Astyanax mexicanus: one gene and its partners. The protein of the gene in region 1 purifies or fractionates together with the protein of each later gene. This does not show direct contact. Links are inferred from orthologs where the notes say so. Each region holds a gene or a part of one and is shown in the gene's direction. Other genes may lie near its edges. The genes, in order: sox2, myef2, hnrnpa3 and ilf2.

What was found.
Region 2: the proteins of sox2 (region 1) and myef2 purify together in Homo sapiens (affinity purification with mass spectrometry; 3 studies listed by BioGRID and IntAct, with this or other methods). This does not show direct contact. The link is inferred for Astyanax mexicanus from reciprocal best matches to the Homo sapiens genes SOX2 and MYEF2.
Region 3: the proteins of sox2 (region 1) and hnrnpa3 purify together in Homo sapiens (affinity purification with mass spectrometry; 3 studies listed by BioGRID and IntAct, with this or other methods). This does not show direct contact. The link is inferred for Astyanax mexicanus from reciprocal best matches to the Homo sapiens genes SOX2 and HNRNPA3.
Region 4: the proteins of sox2 (region 1) and ilf2 purify together in Homo sapiens (affinity purification with mass spectrometry; 3 studies listed by BioGRID and IntAct, with this or other methods). This does not show direct contact. The link is inferred for Astyanax mexicanus from reciprocal best matches to the Homo sapiens genes SOX2 and ILF2.

Annotation. Positions count from the first base shown.
Region 1 is NC_064423.1:26,444,742-26,451,610, reverse strand, and holds the start of sox2 (transcription factor Sox-2), read left to right. Parts: upstream 1-3,862; 5' UTR 3,863-4,254; coding exon 4,255-5,241; 3' UTR 5,242-6,334; intron 6,335-6,507; 3' UTR 6,508-6,611; intron 6,612-6,869. UniProt on the Homo sapiens protein: Transcription factor that forms a trimeric complex with OCT4 on DNA and controls the expression of a number of genes involved in embryonic development such as YES1, FGF4, UTF1 and ZFP206. Binds to the proximal enhancer region of NANOG.
Region 2 is NC_064416.1:43,705,974-43,713,783, reverse strand, and holds the start of myef2 (myelin expression factor 2), read left to right. Parts: upstream 1-4,792; 5' UTR 4,793-4,860; coding exon 4,861-4,979; intron 4,980-7,181; coding exon 7,182-7,393; intron 7,394-7,810. UniProt on the Homo sapiens protein: Transcriptional repressor of the myelin basic protein gene (MBP). Binds to the proximal MB1 element 5'-TTGTCC-3' of the MBP promoter. Its binding to MB1 and function are inhibited by PURA.
Region 3 is NC_064418.1:32,177,926-32,184,926, forward strand, and holds the start of hnrnpa3 (heterogeneous nuclear ribonucleoprotein A3), read left to right. Parts: upstream 1-3,982; 5' UTR 3,983-4,084; coding exon 4,085-4,090; intron 4,091-5,513; coding exon 5,514-5,636; intron 5,637-5,728; coding exon 5,729-5,875; intron 5,876-6,050; coding exon 6,051-6,261; intron 6,262-6,349; coding exon 6,350-6,439; intron 6,440-6,970; coding exon 6,971-7,001. UniProt on the Homo sapiens protein: Plays a role in cytoplasmic trafficking of RNA. Binds to the cis-acting response element, A2RE. May be involved in pre-mRNA splicing.
Region 4 is NC_064410.1:45,267,153-45,274,320, forward strand, and holds the start of ilf2 (interleukin enhancer-binding factor 2 homolog), read left to right. Parts: upstream 1-4,151; 5' UTR 4,152-4,266; coding exon 4,267-4,271; intron 4,272-5,905; coding exon 5,906-5,965; intron 5,966-6,784; coding exon 6,785-6,827; intron 6,828-6,919; coding exon 6,920-7,024; intron 7,025-7,168. UniProt on the Homo sapiens protein: Chromatin-interacting protein that forms a stable heterodimer with interleukin enhancer-binding factor 3/ILF3 and plays a role in several biological processes including transcription, innate immunity or cell growth.

The DNA of each region.
Region 1 (6,869 bases):
GGACTGTGTTTGCTTATTCACACTTTTCTGAGGATTAAATAATTGACTCAGCAACAGAAGATTAGTCTTGGAATTTTAGCTGCAAAATTATAATAGTTATAATAATGATAATAATGTGGCATTTGTTGTTTTTTTGGTGAAATTAACTGTACGGTAGCTTTGTATGACATGGCAATGCATTCTCAGCAAAGGGAGGAGAAAAAAAATTCTTTATCAAATAGCCATTCTTTGGCTTTGAATAAAGCGAGCCCATTAGCTCCCGGCCGCTTTTGTTGGCCCTTTACAAGAGCGAACAAAATGGGTTATTCAGGAGAAGGCTTTAGATTTTTATTGTGGGTAGTGCACACAAAGAGCAGCGTTATTGTATTAAAAAAAGAACCATCTGTGGAAGAAACAATGGCTTCAAATTATCTTTGAATACCCGGCGAGAGGGAAAAAAAAATAAAAAAAATACAAAGCTTTTTCCTCCTCATTATGCTCGGTGCTGGGGGTGGTGGTATAATTTGACTTTTGTTGTTCTTGATGCATTCTTCCTCTTTCAAATCAGCCCTGTGTGTAGCCATAAAACGGCGTTTTCTTGTTCCAGGTCCGGCGAGCAAAGAGGAGCGAAGGCGAGCGAGGAGTGTGTGGAGTGTGCTAGGGAGCTAGGAGTGCACGTCGTGCAAGGAGTGAGATTTATGTGGTTTACATGGACTATGAAGTGTACGAGGTGGTTATGAACTGTGAATATGAGGTGTGTATTGTGCGTATGAGGCAGTGTGTGTGGACTGGCTAAACTGGAGATCTGAAGCTTTGGATGCAGCAATTGAGGGATTTTTTTTTTCCTTTTTTGGTAAAAGTTTTGGCACCTCTGGGACAGATGCACTGTGGATATGGGCATTTGCCAGGCAGTAAGGAGAAATAGCAGCCAGTGAGGTGAGTGTGTATCAGCACAGTGAGAAACGTGTGTGTTTGGTTGAGGGTGGAAAGTGCTGATTAGATGTGTTAAATGCCTAAAGGGCGTTTACACTATATTTTACACTAATATATATATATATATATATATATATATATATATATATATATATATATATATATATATATATATATATATATATATATATATATATAGTTTACACACACGTTAAACTTAAGGGAATTCATTCTGAAATAATTGTTTTTAATGCCTAAATATTAAACATGCGCTGCTCTCATTTAAGAACAACTGTTGACGCAATTACGTGCATGTGCATTTGCCTGCGATGCGAACGTCATCAACGCGTTTTTTACGAGCGCCTTTTTTTTTTTACAGTAAAAGTTTTTAAACTTAATATCACGTGAATGGGCTTTTATAAATAAAATATATATATATATATATATATATATATATATATATATATATATATATATATATATATATATATATATATATATATATATATTGATTTAGTTTTTGTTGTTGTCAATTTGGCCAATTGTGTGTGTGCTCATATCTTGTTTAAAAAGTGTTACGTTTATGAGAAAATATAAATAGAAATATTAATTATTTCCCCCCCCCAAAACTAGTCAGTTTCTACACAAGCTGCTGTTCATCTGCGCCCCCTAGTGGACAAACCATGCCCAATGCGAACGGACTCACACACACACACAGACAATATAATGATTTTTTGTTATACATCGCTAAAAAGAATTATCTCCAAAATTATGCAGAAATGTAAATCTACTTTTAATATTTATTTTTTGACTTATGTTATAAAATTGAGGAATAATTAGAGAGATAATGGAGAGTTGTGGATGTCAGTGTGCTTAGCTGAAATAGGGTTTGAGTGTTTTAGCTTAGTCTGTTTCATAGTGTTAAAAATACATTTTTTAAGTTTAATATTAATATTTAATATTTTTGATTTTATTAATGTATATATTTAATTATAGAGTTTCTTCTGTATTGATGTGGTTAGGCTTGTTTTGTACAGCAGTCTTTTATGTGCTTTCTGGTTGTGTGTGAGATATTATTAAGCACTGGATGAGCTCTTTCTTTATGAAAATATTTGTCTGCTCTCAGTCTCATAGAAGTGTGTGTGTGTGTGTGAACATTTGCTGTATTGTAATTGTGTCAATTAAGAAAAGTGCAGTTAAGGAGGACTCTCTCTCTCTCTCTCACACACACACACACAGACAAATACAGATGATGGTGATTTCTGATTTCCTGCTGTTCACTGCATTTCCATAAGCAGATTAAGGCCCCAATAGAGAGAGGGAGAGAGGGGTGTCCACTACACCTCAGCCACACACATACGCATCTTACCACTTATACACCATTATACTCAATTTATACCAATATACTCTGACCTTGTAAAAACAGTTGGGTTTATAAACGTTATAAACATTTCACTTCTTCCTTATGAGTTAGTCTTGAGCTAAAATAATGGCCACAACATTTTACCCTAAACTTAAACCTTTTACCACATTCACCAACAGTTTAGTCTACAAGATTTTAATGCAAGATATTTTAATTTAAACTCCAACATTTTTATTTAAATATTTTTGTCTAAATCCCAGCATCTTGCCCCAACCGCCACTATCCAACTCCCAAATTGTAGTCTAACCACTAAAATTTAAATCCAAATTACAGCATTATAGTCCAAACTTAATTATTTTAGCCCAAATTTAATATTATACATTATAAAACCAATATAATTCGAAATAAAATTCTAATCCAAATTTTAACATTTTAAAACTTTTACCCAAAATGTTTTTAAACCCCAGCATCTCTGTGCAAAATCCAAAAGTTAGTTAATAATGGAAATGAGGGGGAAAAAAATTCAGACCTGAAAAATTAAATCCTGGCTGATTGGCCACAAAGCACACTTTCTTCCAGACAGAGTAATTTAGTTTATACTCAACATTTTAGTCCAGATCACCACACTGCTACTCTTTAGACTGCAGTGAAGCTTGGGGCACTATTAGAGGCGTTAGTCAAACCGGCCGGAAGAGGGCGCTGTTGAAACACAGTGAGGGCCTCGTCGGCTCGTGCTTTTTGTGAATTAAAAGTGATCTGATTGCACGTGTTTGTCTCTACAATAAGCCTTGTTTGTAAGCCAGATCGGCTCCACTTTCCTCTGCAGAGAGTTTCATTCTCTCACCAGTTTATTTATAACTGGGACTGGCACTGAACTGGACTAGAGGGCTTATAACTTACAACAAGTTTAAATCAAACACAGGAGGTGCTGAAATTATCTCAAACTGTTGTGTGCACAATCTATCAGAGTAAATATAAAGCTGCAGTTGTTCGTCCATTGGTTGCACTATGCACGAGAATAAAACTGTATAGTAAAATCTTCTTTCACTGTGGGTCAGTACATAGTGATACTTTTTGAGGTTTTAAACGGTGTATCAACCAAATCAATATTGGCGTTCTGATTTACTTTAACTTAAAAATTACTGGACATTAGAAATAATGAGGAGAATTTGAAATTAATAATAAACAGCAGCAGTGTCTCGAGGCAGGGAGATCAGTTAGATGGTGAAAACTCAAATAACATATATTAAAACCCATATATCATATAATATATATTATACTTTCTTTATCCCGAAGGAAATATATATATATATTTCTCTGACTTCCACAGCTTTCACTTAAGTTACTAACATTAGGGCTAAACACTGCACATTATCACGTTCAAATTAAACTTGTTTCATATATCTGCAGCGTGTGTGTGTGTGTGTGTGTGAGAGTGAGAGAGAGAGAGAGAGAGAGAGAGTGAGAGAGAGATTTCTGTTCAAACTCAGCTGGGAAACCCACTCTAGCCTCCCAATGCCCCGCCCCTTTATGCTAATTAACCCACCAAACCCCGCGCTGCGATTGGTCAGGTGAGAAACCATTTATATTGGCTGACAGTCCTTCCACGTGAACGGTTGTCTATTAACTTGTACCAAAAGTATCTGGAGTTGTCAAGGCTCCGGCGTGGAAAAGGGGGCAAAAAAAAGCTCAATTTTGTTGATTCTTTTGAAGACTTGAGAAGTTTGTGGGCAAAACAGGAGTGAGGGGGAAATAGACGAAGTGGAGAACTGCAGAAAAACTTACCCCAGCACGGGCTGAAGGGGGGCTGCCGCAGAGAGCGCTTGGACTTGGTTTGTTTTTATTTTTGTTTAGTTTTTTTTTTATTTTTATTTTTATTTATTTTTGTATTTTTTCACTTGCCAGAAGTTCTACTACTTCTTCTGCTGGTGCTTTTTGTTCTTGGTCGAGTGGAGAAGGTTTTTGACAACGATTTCTAGATGTATAGCATGATGGAAACCGAGCTGAAGCCCCCGGCCCCTCAGCCGAGCACTGGGGGCACGGGGAATAGCAACAACCCTGGGGGCAACAATCAGAAAAGCAGCCCAGAGAGGGTCAAGAGACCCATGAACGCCTTCATGGTGTGGTCCAGGGGCCAGCGCAGGAAGATGGCCCAAGAGAACCCCAAGATGCACAACTCGGAGATAAGCAAGAGGCTGGGGGCCGAGTGGAAGCTGCTGTCCGAGTCCGAAAAGAGACCCTTCATCGACGAGGCCAAGAGGCTCCGCGCACTGCACATGAAGGAACACCCGGATTACAAGTACAGACCGCGGAGGAAAACCAAGACGTTGATGAAGAAGGACAAGTACGCGCTTCCTGGTGGACTCCTCGCACCGGGTGGCGGCGGGGTGGGCGTCGGTGTTGGGGTCGGCGTTGGAGTTGGCTCCGGCGTTGGGGCCGGCATGAACCAGAGAATGGACGGCTACGCGCACATGAACGGCTGGAGCAACGGCGGCTACGGCATGATGCAGGACCAGCTCGGGTACGCGCAGCACGCCGGCCTCAACGCGCCCATGCAGACCTCGGCCACGGCACCAGTGCACCGGTACGACATGAGCGCGCTGCAGTACGGCTCCATGACCACCGCGCAGACGTACATGAACGGCTCGCCCACGTACAGCAGCATGGCGTACTCCCAGCAGCAGAGCGGACCCCCCATGACACTGCACGGCTCCATGAGCTCCGGGGTGAAGTCCGAGTCCAGCGCGAGCCCACCGGCCGTAGTCACATCTAGCTCGCACTCGCGCTCCGCCGCTGCCCAGCCGTGCCAGACGGGTGATCTGAGGGACATGATCAGCATGTACCTGCCCGGTGCGGACGTGCAGGATCAAACGGGCCAAAGCAGACTGCACCTGTCCCAGCACTACCAGGGCGCACCTGTGCACGGGACGACCATCAACGGCACGCTGCCCTTAACGCACATGTAGATGGACACTTGGACCCGTTTTACACAAACGCGAAAACACTGGGACTGGACTACTACTGTTATTATTATTATTATTATTATTATAATTATTATTATTATTTTTGTACAGAACTTTTCTTTTTGGTGAGGGAAAACTTGTACAGGACTCGAGGAAAGAACACAAACATTTTTTCTTTGCTTTCGTTTGAAAGAAAGCAAGTCATGCGCTAGAAGAAACGGTAGGAACCGTACAAAAATTATTTTATTTTTTAAGTGTGTTTTCTTTTTTCTTTTTTGAAACATACAAAAGGGAGGAGGGTGGGGAGAATCAATCAAATGATGTTTTATTATTGCAATCAACGTTTTGTACAGTATTTATCAAAAACATATAACAATCAGTTGTAATGTTTGTAAACTACAAAAAGTGATTTTTTTTTATAAAATCTAAATCATGCAGAACTCACAATGCTTAATGCTCCAGTCTCTGCAAACCGCTGGAAAAAAATATAAAGCAGGAAATGTTTCTCCTTGAGGGTGAAAGACAGTACAACATTTTTTAATTTAGTTCTAAAAGAAAAAAAGATGAAATACAAAAACACTCGCACGTAAATTTATATATTATTTTGTTTTGTTTTGTTTAGTCCCCAACCCTCCATCTGTTAGAGATATGAAGTTTGTGTTCTTTATTTTCTCATGGCTTGTAAATTTTCTGTATATTTACTGTGATATTTTAAGTTTTTATTTTAAAAAAAATTTAACTCTTTTTTTCCGTAGTTGTATTTTTAAAAATGTGGCCTGTACGCAGATGCCAACACTCCATGTATATATATATATATTTGAACTAATAGCACCATAACAGTTACAATTTCAGTAAGAGAGTTTTTTTTCAATATGCAGTTTGAAATGAATAAATTTTTGAAATTTGGATATTTGAAATTGTTTTGGGTTTTGATTTTATTTCTTCCTTTTGTAGGTTTGTTGTTGGTTTCATTTGCTTACCTCCCACTCAGGACACAAATGATTTAATATGCTTTAATAGTCAGTGATGCACAAAACAAAAAACGAAAACTGCATGACCATCTTCTCGGTTTAAAAAATATGCGGCTCATTTGACTGTAAGTATTTGAAAATGTCTTCTAATATCTTCTAAAGAGCAGTAAAGCAACTGCGTGCGTGTGTGTTTGAGGAGTGCATGCGAGTGTCAGCTTTGCATCCACATTAATGTCTGTGTTGAGCTTTTTAGATCGAGCTTTAACACCGTTTTCTGTTTCTGTATTTTGTTGTGAAGGACTGTGGCTCATCGGCTCTTCGGAGGTTTTATTCTCCTGTAAATCTGCATTTTAATGGGGCTGGCTGATAAACCTACCAAAAAGGCTGAAAACCCACCATGAGGTAGATTTCATTTATTTAAAGTACATTACTCTGAATAAATGTGTGAACGTGATTAAATACATTTTAATCTCAATAATTTACTCGCGATTGTAAAAAGTGGTAAGGGCAGATCTGTCAGGTTGATACTTTTATATCTTTATGAAAAGATGGAATGTATTTGTTCACATCAACTCAGGTAAATCTTAGGTTTAAGTTTAATTATTTTGCCTGTTTAATTTTAGTTCAATTATAATTTCATTTAAATTAAAGAGTTTTATT
Region 2 (7,810 bases), on another chromosome or scaffold:
AAAACTACTTAAAGTATAAAAGGAAAGGTAATGTAAGGGGAAAAAAATAATGCCATTAAGATCAAAAGCTGAGGCCACACCACAGAGTCCTATAGTGCAACACAACCTAACAATAGTAATATAATGTGGGATGCACTAGGCTGTTCCCTGTTTCAGCTGCATATATGCTGATTGTAAATGAATGTATTTTAGTAGAATAAAGTAAATATATTAAAGAAGTTTAGTTGGACTGGAGTTTATCTGGAGTTCTCTTGAGTCTCTGCACGGATCATCTTCATACTAGACTACATACATCTGCTATGTTCTTGCTGCAGTGTGTGTGTGTGTGTGGGGGGGGGGGGGGTACGTGTGCAGGTGTGATAAATTACAGTATAAACCAATAGGGAGTCGGAATGGTATATGTTTATACTTCTCTACATCCAATCACAATCAGATTCACTCTGTCTGGATGGAGAGATTTATCAGGATGGGGGTTTTATTGAAGGATGAGAAGCCGGAATGAAAACGAGCTGAAATGAAACAGGAGTAACGAGGCTGTTTTTATTCAAATTATTATTCAGATAATTGTGTGAAAATGTAAGAAGTAGAAGGAAAAAGCCGTTACTCCAGTAAGTAAGCTCATGAAGTATTTGGACTTTGTTACTTGCCACCTCTGTTTTGTTACAATACTATGGCCAAACAGTTTATTAACAGTAAGATAGCAAATAATATATATATATATATATATTTTTTTTTTTTTTTTTTTTTTTTTTGGTAACACTTTATAATAACTTTCATTAATATATTTTGAACTAATGTTCAGTAGATGTGAACAAAGCAGTAGTTCATCAGAATTTGAATATTAACAAAACAAAAGCATGGATATTCATATTAAAAATGTTAGCAAATCATTAGCTGATCAGAATTTCAACATTAATAAATTGCCAGTAAATACAAATTTTGAACCGTACAAATGTTCATCAATTGCATAGTATTTGCAAATGTGATATTACATCAAATGTGATTAGTTAATGGTATATTATTGAAAGTTATTATAAAGTGTTATCTATTTTTTTTTTGTAAACCTAAATTAACCGAATAAGGATGACCAAGTCAGGGGAATGAATTTCTCCTGTGAGGCTCTTACTGTCTGACGGTACTTGAAAGCACCATGAACTGTGTTACACTGAATGGACAGGGCTAAATTACATTAGGCTGAATGGGAGGAGAAATAATACTGCTGACTGAATGGGCAGATCTAAACTGCTCTGAGCATCTCGCTCTGTAAAATCACACCTCTTCATTTATTCACCTTAAAAAATCCATTTTTGTGTATATTGTAAACCACATCCATTAGAAGTAAAACAGTAGCAAATACATTAGAATGCAATATGTAGCACACAGCATTAAAACTAAGCCTCTAATTCTTTGGATAAGAAACAGTTGAGCTCATATTGAGACTCCATCTGTCTTTTATGTCCTTCTGTCTTATTATTGTGTCGATATTGTGTCGAATCTGAGCACAATATGAGACTTTACTGAGATTTATACTACGTGATATTACTGAGTTTTAATTTTAAACGCAAGAGATACATTTGAGCAACAGGAAGTTTATGCTAAAATCCCCTTTGTCTTTCCATTTGATCTCATTGTTATCAAGATGAAATGATAACAAGTACAAACTTTTGTTGAAATCTCACCTTTGTTAACCTCCAGCGTTCTGAATTACAGAACTTTTAGCTAATGCTCTTAACAGGCTTACAATCTAAGTGATAGGGGCATAGATTTGTCCATGCAAAGAAATCACTATTTTTCCACACTTTATTGGTAGAATTCTAAGGGCTCTGACATTTAAAACGAGGCACTGAGAACTTGCACAGAAAAAGTGAATATTATTATTATTATTATTATTATTATTATTATTATTATTATTATTATATATTTTTTTATTATTTAAAAAAATAGAAATGCATGAATTCCAGCTGAAAATCTCTATATAATATTTATTCTGCATTTTGTTCTAAACCCCTTGATTTCAGAAGAAAGAATGAATGAGCAGGTGTTCCTAAACTTTTGTCCGTTGTCCAGCTCAGTGAATGCGAGTGTGTTTGAGTGTGTGACAGAAATCAGCTGATCGGTCGAGGTTAATCCTTTTTTACACACACACACACACACACACACACACACACACACACACACACACACACAAACTGCAATGCCTTTCTTGATGAATTGAAAAGCGTTCATGCTGGCCCGTTTCCCGGCACAGCATTATGGACGGCTTGGAGTGCTGTAATAGTGGGCTTATTGACAGAGACGAACAGACACATACACACACACACACACTCACAGGCTGATGTTCGGCCTGTCTCTGCCATGCTGAGACAACATTATTATTATTTAATCATCAAAGTGCCGCCAGACTTTCTTTCTTTCTTTTTTTTTTTTTACAATCATTCTACTGTAATTTATGTTGGGTCTGACCTCTCCGTCTCCTCTGGGTAATGGATCATTAGTTCATTAGACCTCTGAATCCCCTTCTGCATTAACAGGAGGATAAACTCCCACATAATGAGTGATCGTAAGTGGTCTAACATCACTGTCCAATAAACAGCAATGACGTGCAAAACGTCTCTCAAGGGTTTATATCATGACAACTCTACCTTTATAGAATACAGAAGTTTATGTAGGATGCTTTATGTATGATGTATTGCCAACTATATACTGTACAAGTCAAAAGTTGTGACTTACCTTAAATTCAGTGTTTTTTCAGTGGAGTTATAATGGAAAACACCAACGAAAGGACATCAGATTCAAAATTGTAGACATGCACAAGGCTGGGGTGTGTATATTGTATATTTAAGCAGTAACACACTCGAAGTTCATGCTATAACATGTAATATTGGCACTGCTGTGCTGCAGTCATAGACACGAGGCTGCAGGCCAATTACCATAAATCAGCACAGCAGTGCCAATATTACACGTTATAGCAAGAACATTACCATGCATTACCGGCTGATAACGGCACTCTCAGAACGCCTTTCAGCCAATCACATTGCAGCGTTGGAACTACTTGCGGTGTAATGTGTGTTACATTTTGCCAAATGTTAATATTAAATCTGTTTCATTCTTTGTAAATACAGCCTAAAGCTGCCTCCACGTCATGTGGGAAATATAATTTTTGGGTCTATGGTAACCTCCCTAGCCTTTACAGAAAGACAGTCCCTTGAAAAAATATTCATATCCCTTCAAGTTTGCCACATTTCCTTATGTTATACACAAAAACTGTAGAAATAAAATGTATATGTAATAAAACAAAACAATGTAAAAAAAAAGGAATTATAAAGAGAAAAGAAAAAAGCCACCTTTTGCTGCAATTACAGCTAATAATATTATTAAATAATAACTTATTTTGAGATACTAAGGTATTATTTTGAGGTACCACTTTTGAGGTATTATTCTGAGGCCACCTTTTGCTACAGCTCAAGTTTTTGGGGCATGTGTCTATCTGCTTTGCTCATCTACAGGCTAAACATTCTCCGTCAGATTGAATAGAATCTCTGTGAACAGCAATTTTCATGTCTTGCTACAGATTCGATACAGGATTTACGTCTGGATTTTGACTTGATTGCCTTGTATTTAGCTCCACCCATTTCCAAATAACTCTGAACATCCTCCTCATCAGTGCTGAAAAAAACCATGCCACAACCATGTTTCACAGTTTCACATTATTTTGAGATACTGTCATTATATTGTGACACTAAGTCATTATTTTGAGAGACTAATTTGTTATTTTGAGACACTAAATCGTTATTTTGAGATACTAATTTGTTATTTTGAGACACTAAGTCATTATATTAAGAGACTAAGTCGTTATTTTGAGATACTAAATCGTTATATCGGGACACTAAGTTGTTAATTTCAGACACTAAGTCGTTATTTTGAGATACTAAATTGTTATTTTGAGACACTAAGTTGTTAATTTTAGACACAAAGTCGTTATTTTTAGGTACTAAGTTATTTTGAAATACTAAATTGTTATATTGAGATACTAAATCGTTATTGTGGAATACAAAATTGTTATTTTGAGATAATAAGTCGTAATACTAAATAATCAATTTGAAATACTAAATTGTTATTTTGAAATACTAAATTGTTATTTTGAAATACTAAATCATTAATTTGGAATACTAAATCGTTGTTTAAGACACTAAATTTTTGGGAATACTAAATTGTTAGTTTGGAATACTAAATCATTAATTTGGAATACTAAATCGTTGTTTGAGACACTAAATCGTTTGGAATACTAAGTTGTTAGTTTGGAATACTAAATCATTAGTTTGAGACTCTAAATAGTTTGGTATACTAAATTGTTAGTTTGAAATACTAAATCATTAATTTGGAATACTAAATCGTTAGTTAGGAATACTAAATTGTTAGTTTGAAATACTAAATCATTAATTTGGAATACTAAATCGTTAGTTAGGAATACTAAATTGTTAGTTTGAAATACTAAATCATTAATTTGGAATACTAAATCGTTAGTTTGGAATACTAAATCGTTATTTTGAGACACTAAATCGTTAGTTTAGAATACTAAATTGTTAGTTTAGAGTACTAAATCGTTATTTTGAGACACTAAGTGACAAAAAAGGCATTTTCTATTTTAAAGTTATGAATTAATAAAACCAAACTGTTTCCAGCGGGATGTTTAAATAACTCAGAGCTGCCTCTCCGCGTGCGCGTGTGTGTGTGTGCGCGTGCGCGTGCGGGAAGGGAAACGCCCCTCTTTGGAAATATTGGGAGTCGTGCTGGAAGTCTCGCGATATCAGCGGGCAGTGAAGGAGACGCGCCGCAGTGTTTGAAGCGCAGAGAGAGACCATGGCCGACAGTAATCTCGAGTTCGATAGCGAAATGAAACAGGAGGATTCTTACGACGCTTCTCTAAACATGGAGGAGGACGGAGACGCGCCGCCCGAGAACACAAACGGCGTGAAAGCGTGAGGAGCTGCGGCTTTTTTTCTTTGTGGAGTCGGATTAGCCTTAATGCTAACAAGCGGCCTTCAGCCGGCGGCTAATGCTAACCGGCTAACCGGAGCGCGCCTACACTGAAACGGCTTAATATACAGATACCTAACCTAGCGTTTCTTCCTGAATATATATGTTATATCGCTCTGGTTTAGACTAATTACAGATTATTCACAATTTAAGGTGATTTTTTTCTAGTATTAGTGCAGAATGATTCGCCCTAGTTTGATAGTTGTGTCTCTGTGTTAGCTTAGGTGCTAAGAGGCTTTAGCCACCATTATCCATTTAGCGTTAACAGGGTTAGCGGGTAGCTGTGCTAAGCTAACTAACAGCTAACCTAATTTAAATAACGGTCACCGCAGTGTTTTTTATTTATTAGTTAGTTGTAGATTTAAGCAATTAACTATTAGCCAGGCTTATATAGGTAGTACGTAGTCCCTTGTGTAAGCTCTGTTGCTAACTAGACACCTAGCTGTAGTTAGCTAAGGTAGATAGCTAAGTGGGCCATTGTTAAACAGCCAAAGCTAAAGTTAGCTTAGCTCACGCAGGATAGGTTAATTTAATCCTGTATTTATTGTACTTTACGTCAGTTAACTAGCTAAGTTAATTAGATTGGCTATACCTTTTATCTACAGTAAGCATATAGACTATAAGCTGGGTAACTATTGCTTTATACAGATGTGTATCTAAATGTATGCGTGTGTTCTTATGCAATCTATTAGATACTTAAGCTAGGTTAGCTACTCTTGCTCTCTAGCTTATTGTTAGAAGTATTAAGTCATAAGAACCCAGACCGTGTTCTGAATATTGATAACGATTTCAATATAAAATCAGATAAATTCAGTCAGCAGCTTATTAATGTTTTTTTTTTTTTTGTGGGCACGTGACTGTAAATATTTTAAGGTCAAAATCATGATGCAACATAAATGGAGCAAAAATAATTTCCTTATTTTATTTTTAAAAATTCTTGAAGTCAGATCAGAACTGGTTCTATGGAACACAAATGATTGGAGCTATGGATGTGCCATGTTGTATCGCATGCTAAAATACTGGCAGTATTTGTTAATATCGTTATTGCAAAAATACCCTGACAAGTTTATATATATATTTTTTGTTTGTAGCAAGAAGAAAATCCATCCTGTTCTCATTTCGCAGTAAATAATATAAACTAGAGGTTTACTTAATCTTGAAAATAAAAATTAGGCTAATTCCACCAAAACAAGTGCCAAATCCCTCGCCCCTTGTTGTAACAGACCTGTAGAAGCAAATAATACAATTTAACATGTCTAGCTGTTATGTTAAATGTTAAATAACCACATATATGTATTAGAATTAGGCGTTTTGTATATTGCCTCTGTGTATGTTTGGTTCACACACATTTGTAAAACGTTGATTTAAGGACTAACTCCCTCTGGGTTATCCTATAGTTGGGTAGAATGATAAATTTAGCAAACATTTAACTAAAGAAGTTTACAATTTTAATTGTGATTGTTTTAATAATAATAATAATAAAAACTTTTTGTAGCTCAAAATATGTTGCAGTACCATCGAATTTAAGAGGACTGATTACACTTCTTTAAAATATACTTGCAGGTAGTCAGTGTTCCTTAAGTACCGATGCCCAAAATATGCTCATAAAAGCACACCTTAAATCATAGTAATGAAAAAAAAAATAATAAATGTGCCTCACATGACACTGGTGCATGTTTTCATATCTCCCAAACTAAATGGTCAGTCATGTTTTTATTTAGGTACTGATGAAGTTTTATCATTTATTAATTGTTTACCTTTCAAAATTAATCAAATAAAATTAAAACAGGCACCAGTGATTACATTTTAGGACTGTCTTTTAATGGTATTCAGTGTATGTGTTGTCTTCAAACTAGGAGTGGTTGAATGCATAACCATGCTTTTGATACAAGACGCAGTAGTAGTGTCAGTTAAAAAAAATACTGTCAAAAACACTCGCAGTTATTTGTATTCAATATTTACTGTCCTGGAGCCTGTTAAGACCCACTTCCTGTTTGTATGATGCATGCAGTTTGGATTTGTTTTATAATGAACCTCAATTGACTAAATTAATATTACACATTATTTTAGGTTCAGAATAAACTGCATGAAATGCTAAGGTCTACAACTGCACTGATGCATGCCTTCTTTCTTTTCTTACACAGTGACGACGCTGAGGATGCCTCCACAGAGAAATCGGATGGCAAAGATAAAGAGAAGTCTGGAGGCGGCCGGAAGTCCGGTCGCTACCACCCGTATAAGGACCGGCACGGGGGATCTGAAAACAAGAAGGCCTCTCAAAGAAACCGCGTGTTTATTAGCAATATCCCTTATGATATGAAGTGGCAGGCAATTAAAGATCTAATGCGAGATAAAGGTAAAGGTTGCAGAGCTTATGGCACACACATACCCTCCAGTTCCCTCTGTCAGCATCGCAAGCGGCTTTTTCTTATTGTATGATGAAAATCAGGCAGATGAGCTGACGTTGAAAGATGCTAACATGGACAGGGCTTCTTTTTTTTCCTCTTGGGAGGAGTTAAACTACAGATTTGGTCTTATCTTTCCCAGATGATAAAGATTTTTGGCCTTTGTATTTGTAAATAGCTCCAACATGTAACCTCAGTGATTTTTAGATATTTTTACTGTAGAATCTGTTGTAAGGAGATAAAGATGATTGTAAATTGATTATATTTTGCCTGAAATATTGGAATTTGGTTTATACAATGCTTATTAGAAGGTTGGTAAAGGTGGATGTTCACCTTAAAACAGTACTGTGCTTGAAAACTGTAATTGC
Region 3 (7,001 bases), on another chromosome or scaffold:
TCAGCATGAGTGTATGAAAGTATTGTGGGCTTGGATGTTACCTAAATTTTGCCAAAAATTACATGTTACCATGAATGAATAACAGCATACTAAAACTTACGGCAGGCTACAATAGTATTACAAAAAAAAAAGATTTTACCCAATTTCAAGTGACATAAAAGTGAAAACCTGAAATTGTTTGGCTTGTACTTTGTGTGGGACTTTTATTTCATATTTTTGTAATAAATAGCATTTTGAAATAAACAAATACATCAGTTTACTGGTTCACCAGTCATGAATTTGGCGTTATTTATGTACTGGGCATTTAACATTGCTATCAAATTAAAAAAGAGAAAAGTTCTTGTAGAATTAGAGTCTTAATTAAGGAAGTGATATCACATACTAAATCTAAAACACTCAAATACTGTGATCAGTGTGAATGGGGTCTCAAGTAAACAGCTTGTAGGCCACCATATGTCTAAAGGAAAGGAGGATTGTAAGCATCCAGCAGGTGGCGCAGTACTCTATTGTAGGCTCCAGTGCAGCAGTCCAGGTGCTACGTGTCTGGAACTCAAGGCCATCAGGTTTATGTTCCCAGGTTTTTGTAAAAAGATCACAGCAAGATTGAAAACCAGTTTTCCTGCATCTTTCAGGAAGTGCTCTGTACACAGCTCTCTCACGGAAGGCTTAAACTTACAAACAACTCACTATTGTGTTTTTATAGTTAAGTGAGAATGAATGAGTATCTGAGTAATAATCAACCCAGAGTGACGCAATGTGCAGTATTGTTTTTTTTTGTGGTAAAACATAGCTTGCATACAAGCACAGACACACACAGGGCTTGTCTCCATTATGTTGGCCTACTGAGTTCTTGACTCCCATTTTAACTTTAACACACAGTTTACAAATATATCCTAATATTATACTGAAACAAATCCAATATAATATGAATTTATCCAACAGCCCCATCTACAAGCTATTGCAAAATCTCTCAGTCCAACTAGGTCATGTGGGAATTATAACTAAGGCTAGTTAAAAAGCCAGATATATTGCCAGTTACTGAGTCCAAAGTTCAGCTTAAGCGCTGTAGCTCCAAAAAAAAAAAAAAAACAGTAAGAACACAATATGATAGTGGTGACATTAAATAAAATAAAATCTCATCAACCAATAGAACAGGTTCTGCCTATTTTTGAGATGAACTTGATAACTAATACATGAAATGAATCAGGTTGAAGAAAAACAGGAAACTGGAAAGATCACGTAAACTACATATTTGCAGTTGGGAAACCACAGGCCAAGAAACAAACATGATAAACTGTAAAAGTTGTCAATTCAGGATTACCTTTTTATATCAACAAGTGTAGGCTTTTCCCAGATAACATGCTCATATTGGGCCTGTATGAGTAGCAAAACTAAGAACCAGAAGGTTTTGTCCACAGGGTTGGTCCCTCATGTGGATGTCACTGATAGGCTTCACCAGGGTCAGTGTTTGGGGTGAAATAAATATTGATATATCGAAGTATTGTAGTATTTTATTTTTCAATACTGTATCGTTTTTCAAAAATGTTTTTATTATTAGTTTACATGTGAATATTAAGGGTAGTCCGTTTTGCTAGATCCAGATCCAGTTGTAATTCAGATTTAATATGAATTTTATACTATAGGAATTTTCCCAAAAATGTATTTAAACCATCACAAAATATAGTCTTGCCTTACAGTATCACAATACATTGCAATATTTTAAATCGTAAACCCTGTATCAAATTCTTGCCAATGCACAGCCCTATTTAATGTAAGACAGGTGACAAAACATGGTCCCCATCTTGGTTCATACACTGCATAAATTATCTAGATAGGGATAGAGGTGGGCAGTAATAATGGTAATGATGGTGTCTGTTAATGAAGCCCATTTGTGTGCAAACCCATTCTGAGCCTACACCTACTAGCCCACATTTCACCCATGTGAGCCCCATATGCTACACTGGTTAGTATAACCTGTAAAGAATTCCTAACTGTTGTTTGACTCACAATAACCTAAACCTGACTGGCTGCTTTAAAACCAGCCAGTCACAAGATTGGAAGAGCTGGTATGTACTCCACTGCTAATAATAGCATCAGTGTTAATTTTTTTTCATTTCCCAGTTTAGTTCAGGTTGAGGATGTCTTTTTTTATCTGTACTCCTTGTTTTCATGTGTAACCCTTCCCCTTGTAACTTTGTCCCCCTAAAAACATTAACTAAAGAATTGGGATATCCCTTTAAACACTGATAGGGATATTTAGCAGTGAAGCGCTAAAGTTCAGCACCCTAGTTGCTTGTTAACTAGCTAGTTAACTAGCAGGGCATTGTCTTCATTATTGTCCATTCCTTAATTCCTCTGTAATGGGGATCTTAAATTATGTTTGTTATGGAGAAAATGGACACAAAACATTGAAACTACACATTAAATTATGGTATTATAGTAGATATTGTAATTTCTACTAAGGAAAACTTAAATTTCTGGGTTTCCTTGGTTGTTTGTGCTGCTATCTTGCCAGTGATTCTAGCCCTCTTTTTTGAGTGTGCGTTTGAAGGGTCATGTAGCCCTAACACTCCCCTACCCTTCCAGCGTAAAAAAATCGGGACACGCTACCCCTAGACATTTGCACAAGCAAAACAGAGGGGTAGGGCTAAGTGGTGGGGCAAAGGGGTGAAATGAGATTGGGCCGTAGCGCACACAGAGGACAAATTAATTTTTGGTTAAAAATTAAGACTTACATAAGGTAATGTGGCTGCCTATAAAATGTGGATTTCACTAAAATTTAAATAAAATATTATTGTTCAATAAGTGTTGTGTTAAAAATATAAAATAGCCTTAATGAAGCAACGTATTAAGGCCAATTTTAGTACTTTTGAAATCTAAAACAAAAAAAAATTAATATATATATATATATATATATATATATATATATATATATATATATATATATATATATATATATAAGTTACAGGATGTTACTCTGTCTGTCTCTTTATTTTTCTCATTTCCCAGTGTCATACGCTCTAAATTACTTATTCACTTTGAGGATACAGTACTGATGCATCTAAAAAAAATGAATATTATTGAAAAGTTATTTTATTTCAGTAATTTAGTTCAAAATATGAATTGCTTACAGGCAAAGAAAACCCAAAAACCAGTGTCTCAGAAGATTGGATTAGATATTATATAAGATAAATTTCTACTTTTGACAGTGTGGGCAGTGTGCCAAGTCCTGCTGGAAAATGAAAATCCACTTCTCCATAAAAGTTGTCAGCAGTGGGAAGCATGAAGTGATGTACGATTTTCTAAGAAAACACTCCAATGACTTTGGACTGATAAAGGATGTTGTTGTATATACATTATTATAATGTGGCATGGAAGAGGAAGGAGGACTCGTTAGACTCATTACAGTACTCAACAGCTCTTTATTTAACAGGCTTGCCACTTACTTATAGCCTTTAACAAGGCTAGGAGAGCGAAACCCAACTGCTCACACAGCATAAACAGCCCTAAGGTCACTAAACCAACTAGGAATCTACCGGATGGTAGATCACCACTCTGCATAACCCCACTTAAAAGGGAGGCCCCACACCTGACATCCACTCACACACAGGCACACAGAGACAGGCACACAGCAGCCACACACACACACACACACACACACACACACAGACGCCACAATATTGTTTGGTACACTTTCAAGAATAAAAGCAATATTCATTATACAACCAGTTGAGAAATAACATATAACGTAATAACCTAACTGAAGGACAAAACACCTCATATCACCAAAATGGCACCTTTGCAAGAAAAAAACCCCAAATAATTTTGTAGCATTTCTGCTGCTTGATTCATCATGAAATTTAGATACTTTTCTGCTTTTAGGAACAGTTACCTAAAAAAACTGAAGAAGGCTGAAAGCTGAGCAAACAAACAAGCTAAAACAGCTAATATTTATTAGTGTTTCAGAGACAGCAGCTGCGCTGGGTGACTGACTGTTCGATCCCCTGGTGGTGGTCTCTGGTGTTACAGCCCCGAAAAGCAGCAGCAGCACTGGTGTGAAAAGGAGGGGTGCAGACGCTGCGACATGGAGGTAATAACCGTTTATTAGCTGTGTATCACTGTGCTTTATTGCATGGCATGTAACTAGAAATATTATAAGAGGTTTAGGTTAAAGACGCAGTACAGTAAAGTACAGGTGGCAGCTTGGGCTCTTGGTTCTGCTGTGCTGGCTGGCTGTCGTGTTTACAGCTAGCTAGCTATGCTAAGCTAGTTACTACCTAGCTACGCTAAGGTTAGCTTGCTAGCTGGGTGGTTCTCGCCAGATTTAGGTAAAGGGAGCTAGGTAGCTAAGGTAACTCTGCACATGAATATTTTTCAGTGGTAATTCAGAAACTGGGGAAGTTGAACCAGCCGAATAGTACATTTCTGCTTGTGGTTTTTGGTTAAATCACGAAACGGAAAGTGAATACTCTCACTCCTGCATAGTTAGTGCCCACAGCTAACACCGGTCCGGCTAGCTCGCTAATCTCCTGCATTTCGGCTTGAATGTCAAGCTGTGATGTTGGCGAGGAAGTAACTGGAAAACGGTAGTCTAAGTCCAGACTGCTCCTCCAGTATGACACAAGAGTCACGAAAACACAGGCTAACAATATGGTGGAGAGAGGAAAACAGCTCTAAAATGGCGTTTGAGGAGAACCCGCTTGGAATATTCCAGACGCGGATGAGGGCAGTGCTGATAAGATAGCCAGCAGGTTCAGCGACCGGTTTCTCCTGTAAAGAACATGGCTTGTGTCGAAATGTAGCGTTTCTCAGTCAGTTCAAAATCATCCATATAAAATTTACCGGAGTCAAATGGCTCAACTGAAACCCTTACCTGTAGCATCTCGGACACGAAGCCCCTGCTCCCAGTGTATCAGCTTAGAAAATTATTTTTCTCTATAAACAAATTGTACCAATGGTTTACAGGGGATGCTCTGGATAATTGGAGGGTTAACTATTTCTATAAAGGAAATAAGGGAGTGGATAATTATTATTTAGAGGAAATAATTTATTAAATGTATTACTTATTTATTATTTAATTGACGGGTTTTATTGGGAAATTAAAAGGTTTTTTTAATAGAAAGAATTCAGCGTTGAAGGAACAGTTTAGCTAGCTATTAAAACGAAGGTAAATACAATTTAATTGACAGACTGGATTGTTAAATTTGGGGAATGGTTATATGTTTATTAATTCAAGTTTATGTAATTCAAGCAGCATATTACTAAATTGAGGGCCTGTTAATTAAATTATTTAAGTTTTATTTAAGTATTATTTAGAATAACTAGCAACAGTACTTCAGGGGATCTGTACAAACAGAACATTTCTAACAAGCCTATGACTGCTGATTAACTACTTTTTTTAAGCTGTAATAGCTAATGGACATTAGTTACAGATGCATTTACATTTCATAGGAACCTGGGAATTTTAATGCTAATTGTAATGTTTCTTAATATTTTTTTCTTGTTGTCAACAGGGTCATGACAGCAAGGAGCCAGAGCAGTTGAGGAAGCTGTTTATTGGCGGTCTCAGCTTTGAAACAACAGAGGACAGCCTGCGTGCTCACTTTGAGCAATGGGGCAAACTCACAGACTGTGTGGTTAGTGAGAACTGCAGTGCTGTTTGGGGCATTTTGTTAGATTTTTTTTTCTTTCAGTGTAAGCTTTAATTGCTAACTACTTCCTTCCACAGGTAATGCGGGACCCAGGGAACAAGCGGTCACGAGGCTTTGGCTTTGTAACTTATTCATGTGTTTCCGAGGTTGATGCAGCAATGGGTGCTCGGCCCCATAAAGTTGATGGACGCATCGTTGAGCCTAAAAGGGCTGTTTCCCGAGAGGTATCTTGATGCACTGTTTTTACTCTCTACAATATTATTAGTAGTTTTTGGATTATTCTTAAGACTAAAGATTGTCATCTATAGTTCACTGATTTCGCTTCCAGAACTCAAACATAATTGCCTTAAAACCTACATAATTTGCAATACCTTTTCTTGATGTTGTTACTGTTTTTAGGACTCGAATAGACCAGGGGCCCACCTGACTGTAAAAAAGATTTTTGTCGGAGGTATAAAAGAAGACACAGAAGAGTATCACATACGAGAATACTTTGAGCATTATGGGAAGATTGAGAGCATTGACATTATGGAGGAGCGGCCAACAGGGAAAAAGAGAGGATTCTGTTTTGTAACGTTTGATGATCATGACACTGTGGATAAAATTGTTGGTAAGAAAATATTCACGAAAAATCTGCCTTGTTGTAGCTGTTGTTTTTAGTACAAGCACTAAAAATTCCCATTTGTGTTTCTCTCTAGCCCAGAAATACCACACCATAAACTCTCATAACTGTGAAGTCAGGAAAGCACTCCCAAAACAGGAAATGCAAGCAGCTTCTAACCAGAGGTGTAAGTACAACCTCATAATAATCATCATATCACAAATCATCAATAGTCAAATAATTTATGTACATTTGTGTGTGAGGCACTTTCTATAATTCTGTTGGGGTGTGTGATATGGCAAAGATAATATAATGTTCAGGGATAGTCTCAAAATGCATACAATTATGTTTATATAATAAGACATAACAAAATATAGTGTAATTGAATGTAATGTACATCACAATACTTGTTTGAATTACTTTTTGTTTTTTAGTCTCTACTAATGCAAAGTAGTATTGATCTTTTTAGCAAAATGTGCAGCTGGATAGTGTTCATTAATTGCATACACTATTCACAACACCAGAAAAACATACTCACTCCTATTTTAAAGTATAATTGTTAAATGCTGTTAAGAATTGTTAGAGATTTGTTTTAGAGAAACGTTTCAGGAAAAAAAGTCAAATTTCCTGTTTATTGCCTTAGTGTAAACAAACAGCAGAAAAGGAAACATGAAAAGGTTAGATTACTTTTCAGCTCCTTTGTTTATTTCCCTTTTAGATCGGGGTGGCGGAGGAGGTAATTTCATGGG
Region 4 (7,168 bases), on another chromosome or scaffold:
GTAGGGGAGACGTGTGTATGCCGTCCCTCAGGGACACATATACACACACACACACACACACACACACACACGCACGCACACACGCACATACATACAAAAGTGATCATTCTTACCCTCTCCCAGGGACACCTATTCAGTTTGAACCAGAGATATTTTTACCATCTGAACTTTTGAAAATATAAAATTTATCTTTTATTGGAGCTATGTCAAGATCAAGGTTTTAATGAACAAATGAATAATTAAAAGATGGTAAATGCTGAGTTTATGAAAAGTATATAAAGTTATGTACAGTGTTTCTTCTATATACTTTGAATCAGCAGCCAACTGCTGCAAAATCACTGCCCCTGCTGCTTTAGAATTTTATAAAATGTAATTCAGTTTTTTCTTTCAAGATTTCTTCCTTTTTTCTTGTCACTGAGGTGGGCTGCATTTGTTTCATTTAATATTATTCAAAATTAGGGGTGGGAATCACAGGATAACAGGGCATCTCATGATACAATATTATCACAATCCATGCTGTCCATGGTAAAAATGGTATCAAACTACTTTGACTCTGTGATACTTAATATATCACAACACAATTCTCTATGGTTCTTCACAGCATCTGTGTTACTGAAGAAGATAAAATACTCCTAAATAAGCAAATAGCAGGAATTATCAATTTATTGGTGAAGGTTTCACAGAATTGGACAACTAATGTGGAGTAATGAAACAGTAAGTCAAATTGGGGGAGAGTTTAGAGTGAATATGTTTTAACAAATATATATAGATATTTGATTTCACATACCAATATAATCCAGTCTAACCAATACTGCAATATATTGCAGTATCCATATATTGTCCAACCCATACTTAACAGCAAGTATAAGAGGCACTTTAGTGTACTGTGAATACTGTGATGACTTTTTATACAGTCAGGCCTAGGGGAAAAAGCTAAAGTAGAAAATAACTGATGTTTTTTTCTTTCATGGACATTATGAAATCAAATTTGATTTTTTTTGATGGCTATTATCTGAAGCATTACTTTGTATTTCTAATATGAATTTATACAATGGGAACATAAAATGGAAGAATTGTCCATACAGGATAAACATATTCCGATCCAGGGATACATTTTACAGGCCCTAATGAGCAGATTACTTATACAGACACAGACACAGTACGATCCACTTCTAACTCATAGTTTAATGCTAAAAACATTTTAAACGTTTTCTCACTGTGTATTCATTTGTTGGTCTATTGGAGTTACTTTGTTTTCATAACTAGTGGTACAATTACATTATATACATTTTCTTTTGTAGACTCCTGTAGACTTTTTTTTGTTTAAATGTGCAGAACTCCATACTAAAATCTGTTCATGGGTAAACACTGGATTTAATTAATAGTGACAGACACTATTGAGAGGAAATATTTCATACCTGTCAAGTCTCCCGTTTTGGCCGGGAAACTACCGTATTTTACTCCTCTTTCCCGCCGTCCTCCCGTATTAGTATTTTCCCGTAAATTTCCCGTATTATATTAAGATTAAAAAATATATATTATTAAGGAGACAGGGAGCTGACTGCTCTGTGTCTCTTAACCAATCGTGGAGCCGGTTCAAGGAGAAAGTCCCGCCTTTCAGGAGAAACAGCCAATCAGTTTGCAAAGGAGAGTCAGTGTGGTGAAGCCCTCAGTCGCTGTGAGTTCAGGCAGCTAGTCGGAGCTGCTGATGTTAAAACATATCTGGATTTTCAGCGATTTTTCTTTAAGAAAGGTCTAATCATGTAAACTGTGAGGAGATTTTTCTGATAGCTGCTTAAAAATACTCGTCTCTGAAATAAAACACACAGATTAAACCTTTTAAAATAAAATAAAAATTACAGCTGACTCAGCTTAACTAAAATGTGGAGAGGACCGAAATGAACTGATCAGGGGTGGAGTGATCAAAAAGAAGAAGTATTAATTAAAAAGTATTAATTGTGTAGGCCACTTAGGACTAATTTTACTGATGGAATATATGTGGTCCATGTCCTTTTAGTAAAAGCTCATAATACTATTTTTAGGTCACCTACAGTCATTTTGCAGAATTTGTGCACCCTTTGTTCAATTTTAAATCTATTAAATAAATAAAAAATATATCATATAAAAGAGTGCATTTATGGCAAAAAAGACATGAAATCTTAACTTTTTTTAATATCTAGAAAAGGATTTTAATTTGGCTGTATTAAAAAAATCACATGTAGAAATGTCCACAACATTTCAGATTCTGATAATCTAATTTTAGTGTGTAAGTGGTTCACTTGTGGTTATTTTAGATTTTTTTGTAAACCTGTCTTAAAATGTAAGGGATACTGAACCTTCGTTGGGCTGGAGGGACGGCTTTAGGCGGACAGAGGAACATATCCCTTATTTTTAAATCTAAAACTTGACGGGTATGATATTTATCTAATATTTTATACCAGTTGAGGTCTTTTTTAGATGAACACTGACCAATAATGTGCTGTTTGCTGCCATCTGCTGTTTATCCTGCATAATCTTACACTTTCAGAGCACCTCACAATTCTAAAGGTTTGGGCACCCCGTGCCAGATTAATTCCATGTTGACCCGATGTGACAGTAGGTTTTAATTCTGAGCAACAAGCAGCAGCCCCGATTCCTCTAATTTAATGAGTCTTCCAACATCTGTTTGACTGAAATGTAAACCTGCAACCACAGAACCACCGTTCTGTCGAATTGTCCTACTTTGTCGAACCGTGCTGCCCTAATGTATATTTAAGTGTAAAAATACAAAAAAGCACTATTTTAGGGCCCAGTGAAATTCCAGTATATGTACGTTATTAGATTTGGATAGCATAAATCATTGTATCATGGCAAAGGTATGGCAAATAAAGCTCATTACAAACTGCTTTTGTATTTATTTATAATAATTGTAATTATTAGTTTTCATTTACACTTTTGTGCAATGACAGTGCGTCCCTCTAAAACAGATTAATTATAAATAAAAAACACGAGATATAATTAAATTGTGTATGTCAGCGCATGCGCAGTACCTTTGGGAAGCATGTATCGATGGGTAGAACAACCTGCTCACTGTGGACAGGTCTGACACCCCTGCTTTACAGAGAACACACCTCTACTGAACATGCACTTTCTCACCTCAGACTTGAAGGGGTTGATTCTCATTTTGTTCTGTTCACACTCAGCTGCAAACCACTTAAGTGCACACTGGATGTGCCTACATGTACAGGCCGACATGTCAACATAACCTGCAAACAGCAGAGAAACAAAAGCCCTTACTGCCTCCACAAGAAGACTAAGACTAAGATCTAAATCTTATCAACCCCTCCTAAACCCTCACACCTCCAACCTCCAGCCCCCACTTTCTCTTTCAGGTGGACCTGCATGACTCAAAACTGACAGTAAAGCATTAAACAGAGCTTTATAATACCATTCACATACATTAAATCCACAGATGTCACAGCTAGCAGAGAACGTTGTAAGAACATTTAGCAACGTTTTGAAAAGGTAAAATTTCTGCAATGTTACAGAAATATTGGTCCAGGAATGTTCTGAAAACATACAACATAATGGTTTGCACTGCAACGTTAATTAAACGTAACTTTCCCAGCTAGTTGAACACTAACATTATGGAAATGTTTAAAGTGACATTCCCAAAATTGAAAATGAAAACATTGACACAAGTGACATTGCAGGGATATTAACACAACATTAAAAAACGTTTAATAAAGACTGGGACAAATCTAATCTGATGTCAGTCATTTTTTATAATTTAATTCAATATAAGAAACAATTAAAGTGTTTTAATTGTGAAATAAAATAGAAAAGTGCATGCAATTAAAAACGTATAAAAAGCACACACGCAATTTAACAACCATGTATTCATTTTGTACCAGTGAAAGCTATCGTGCTAAAATTGTTTATGGGTCATTGGCGTGTTAATATTAATTGGAATTATTTATTTGTGTTTATTTTATTCTTTGTAGCTGTTATTATTTTTTATTAATTTATTCGTCCATTCGAAATAAATAATATTTGGTAGTAAGAGGTATTTTATTTAGGTGTTTTTTCCCGCAGAGAAGGGGGTGCGGTAGGTTAAGCATGCAGGGACTTTTATTTTGGGGTACTTCTGCTCTTTGTCCGTTTCCCCTGCTGCTCTTTCAGCTTTAGCTCAGCTCAGCTCGTCTCAGCAGCAGCGGCGGCTCCGGGTGCCGGTGACCCATTTTCATCTTTTCTCTGTTTTATAAAGCTGCCAACACGTCTTACGCAATGAGGTGAGATATCTATCTGCGCTGTTTTGTGACATTCGTGTTTTTTGGGGTGAAATGCGCAGTAATATCGTTATTTATTGAGAATGATTTATCGGCGTTTTGAGGGCCTTTAGCCTACAGGCTAGCATGAGCTTAAACTAGCCTAGCTCGCTAGTTTAATATCTGGCGTGGTGATTAGCCTGAAGTCAGGGGAATTGCTCGGTGTTACTGTATGATGTCTTGTTAAAGGAGTTGTTTATTCGTTGGTGTTTTAAGGCTGGGTAAATGCAGCTATTTGTGTGTTTAATCGTCGTCGCGTCGCTGTGTGTGAATGAATGAATGAAACCCCAGTTTAGCCGAGTGTAGCTAACAGTTAGCTGGTATTAAATTGATGATGGGTAGCTAATATTGACCTAGGTTAGCTGTGTATTTAAAATAACCAGTCTGTGTTCTTGGAAAACACATGAATTTGTTTCATTTCAGTGTGCTTAGATTTGTAATTGGTCCATTTTTTTAATGGTTTTCTGTGTACTAGTTCAGCCTGGCTTAAAGATAGCTAGCTAGTCCTGGACAGGCTGCTTAATTAACCCTCTATGGCATGATGTTGCTCTCAGGCAACAAAACATATTTTATTACACCATAGCCTTTATTTATATAGCTTATTTATTATGTATTTGTTATTTTTAATGTAATGTTAAATGGCATGTCTGCGTTCTAAATCATGAGGCGTGCAAGTGGATCATAAATAAAAATAATGTTACTTAGATGTGCAAGAATTATGTAAAGAAGCATATTTGGCTATTTATATTCTAATAAGTGCTGGACGTTATGACCAAAAATCGATGTCACATTTGTTTCAAGATTCTGACGGCTTTACTGTATTTTTTATTGTATTTTATTTTATTTGCATGACTGGGCTTTTATATAGGTTTATGACTTAATGAATGTTTATGAATACAAACATTAAGGCTGTACTATTGGGTGTATTTTGTTCCCCAAAATTACACAACCTATGACTTCATTAGTAGAAAAACAGATGAATGTAAACAATAGACCTTAGAAAAAGATGTGCCTACAACTTCCTTTACAAAACTAAATAAATAGTTAAAACTAAACAGTAAACAGACCTAAAATACTAAATATTTAGTATTCAAGAGCTATTTCTAAAAAACCTCAATAACATCAAGCAATACACAATTTTAATATTTTAGTTTACAATGTTATTATTGAAGCCATTAGAGGAACTACAGTATTAAAGCCTCATTTTCCTTCTTTCTGTAGTGTGAATAAATTCAGTGTGCAGTAATATTATCCATATGAACCGGTATGCTGCCCAGCACTAATTCATTTTATGTTCTTTTGCTTTTAGCTTAATAAAACAAGTTATTTTTCAACATTATATAGACCTCTTTTGGCATCGGCATCATGATAAAGCCGTGGGGATTCAAATAATCAGCAAAAGTTCTCAAAGAAAAAAATCTCCCATATAGTGGTGTGATTTTTTTTTTTTTCTCCCCAAAAATATAACTCATACTATAGATTGTTAATGCTATGCCTTGAACAGTAGCATCAGCTGTGGGTTTGTGTGCACTAACCTAGATTATGTTACTGGACTAATCTAGCCAGTTATCTAACATGCTTCTTTCTTCTTTCAACAGAGGCGATCGTGGAAGGGGCCGTGGTGGTCGCTTCGGCTCCCGTGGAGGTCTAGTTCAGGGGTAAGATAATGTGATCAAAACCGTTAGATTTGCTTTGTGTTAATTTTGGTTTCCAAGCTGGGTCTTGAATTAATGGATCTCACAATGTGTACAGGCTCTGGGGCTAACACAGTTTGAGAACCATTGGTTAAAAACATAAGCCTAGACCCACTTCTAAGTATTGATATCAAATTTAAAATTACATCTGATAAATTGAGTGCGCAGCTCATTCTCATTCTTTTTTACTTTGTTCAGACAACTGTAAGTATTTTACAGCTAAAATCCTCATGTAACTCAAATGACAACAATTTCATTACCTCTATTCTAATGTTTTGTCTTAGAAACAGTGTCATCAGAACTAGTTATCTAAAACCTTTAAGTGAAGCATTTTAATTGTTAAAATTGTTGGATTAGACCTGAAGCACAAATTCCTGCATTCTGTAAGTAAGGTCAGATGCATTAACAAACTGACATGTGATCCTGTGTTAGGGGTGTATGTTACTTAGGGGTTGTATGAGTTAAAATGACAGACAATGCTCATAAGGGGTGTGTGACATGTCAATATTGGTTCTTTTGGGTTAACTCAGAAGATTTGATATTAAGCACAGTGATTTCTTTACTCAAACTTATTTAAACAGGGTAATGAACTGCAAAATTGAATTAGGTCTGTTTATGCAGACAACTCCAAAGGAACCCCTCCCTGATTTGGTGGTCTGTCGTGGCTGATATTTTTTCAGTTTTTATTTGATGTTTACATGTATTCCATCAACAAAGACAAGGTGCTTTAAGCATTGCTTCAGTTCTGCTATGTCATTATTTACATTTTTGTTTGGCTTTCAGGTACCGCCCTTTTGTCCCACACATACCGTTTGACTTTTATGTTGTAAGTAATTTTTTACTTTATGCTTTTAAGGCGCTTAACATGTAGATACTGTAGTGACAGTTGTACTCATAAACCAAATTTTGCTTTTCCAGTGTGAGATGGCTTTTCCACGAGTGAAGCCGGCACCTGATGAGACTGCATTTAGTGAGGCTCTTCTGAAGCGCAACCAAGATCTCACTCCAACACCATCTGAGCAGGTAACCAAGTTTTAACACTACAACCCAGCAATGAAATTGTGTGGATAAAATCAGGGGATAAAATCGGTCACAATCAAAATCTGTCTGTGTACGAGTATATTGTGGAATTCTGAGGTTTAGAGAAACGATAGTAGCTTAATTGAT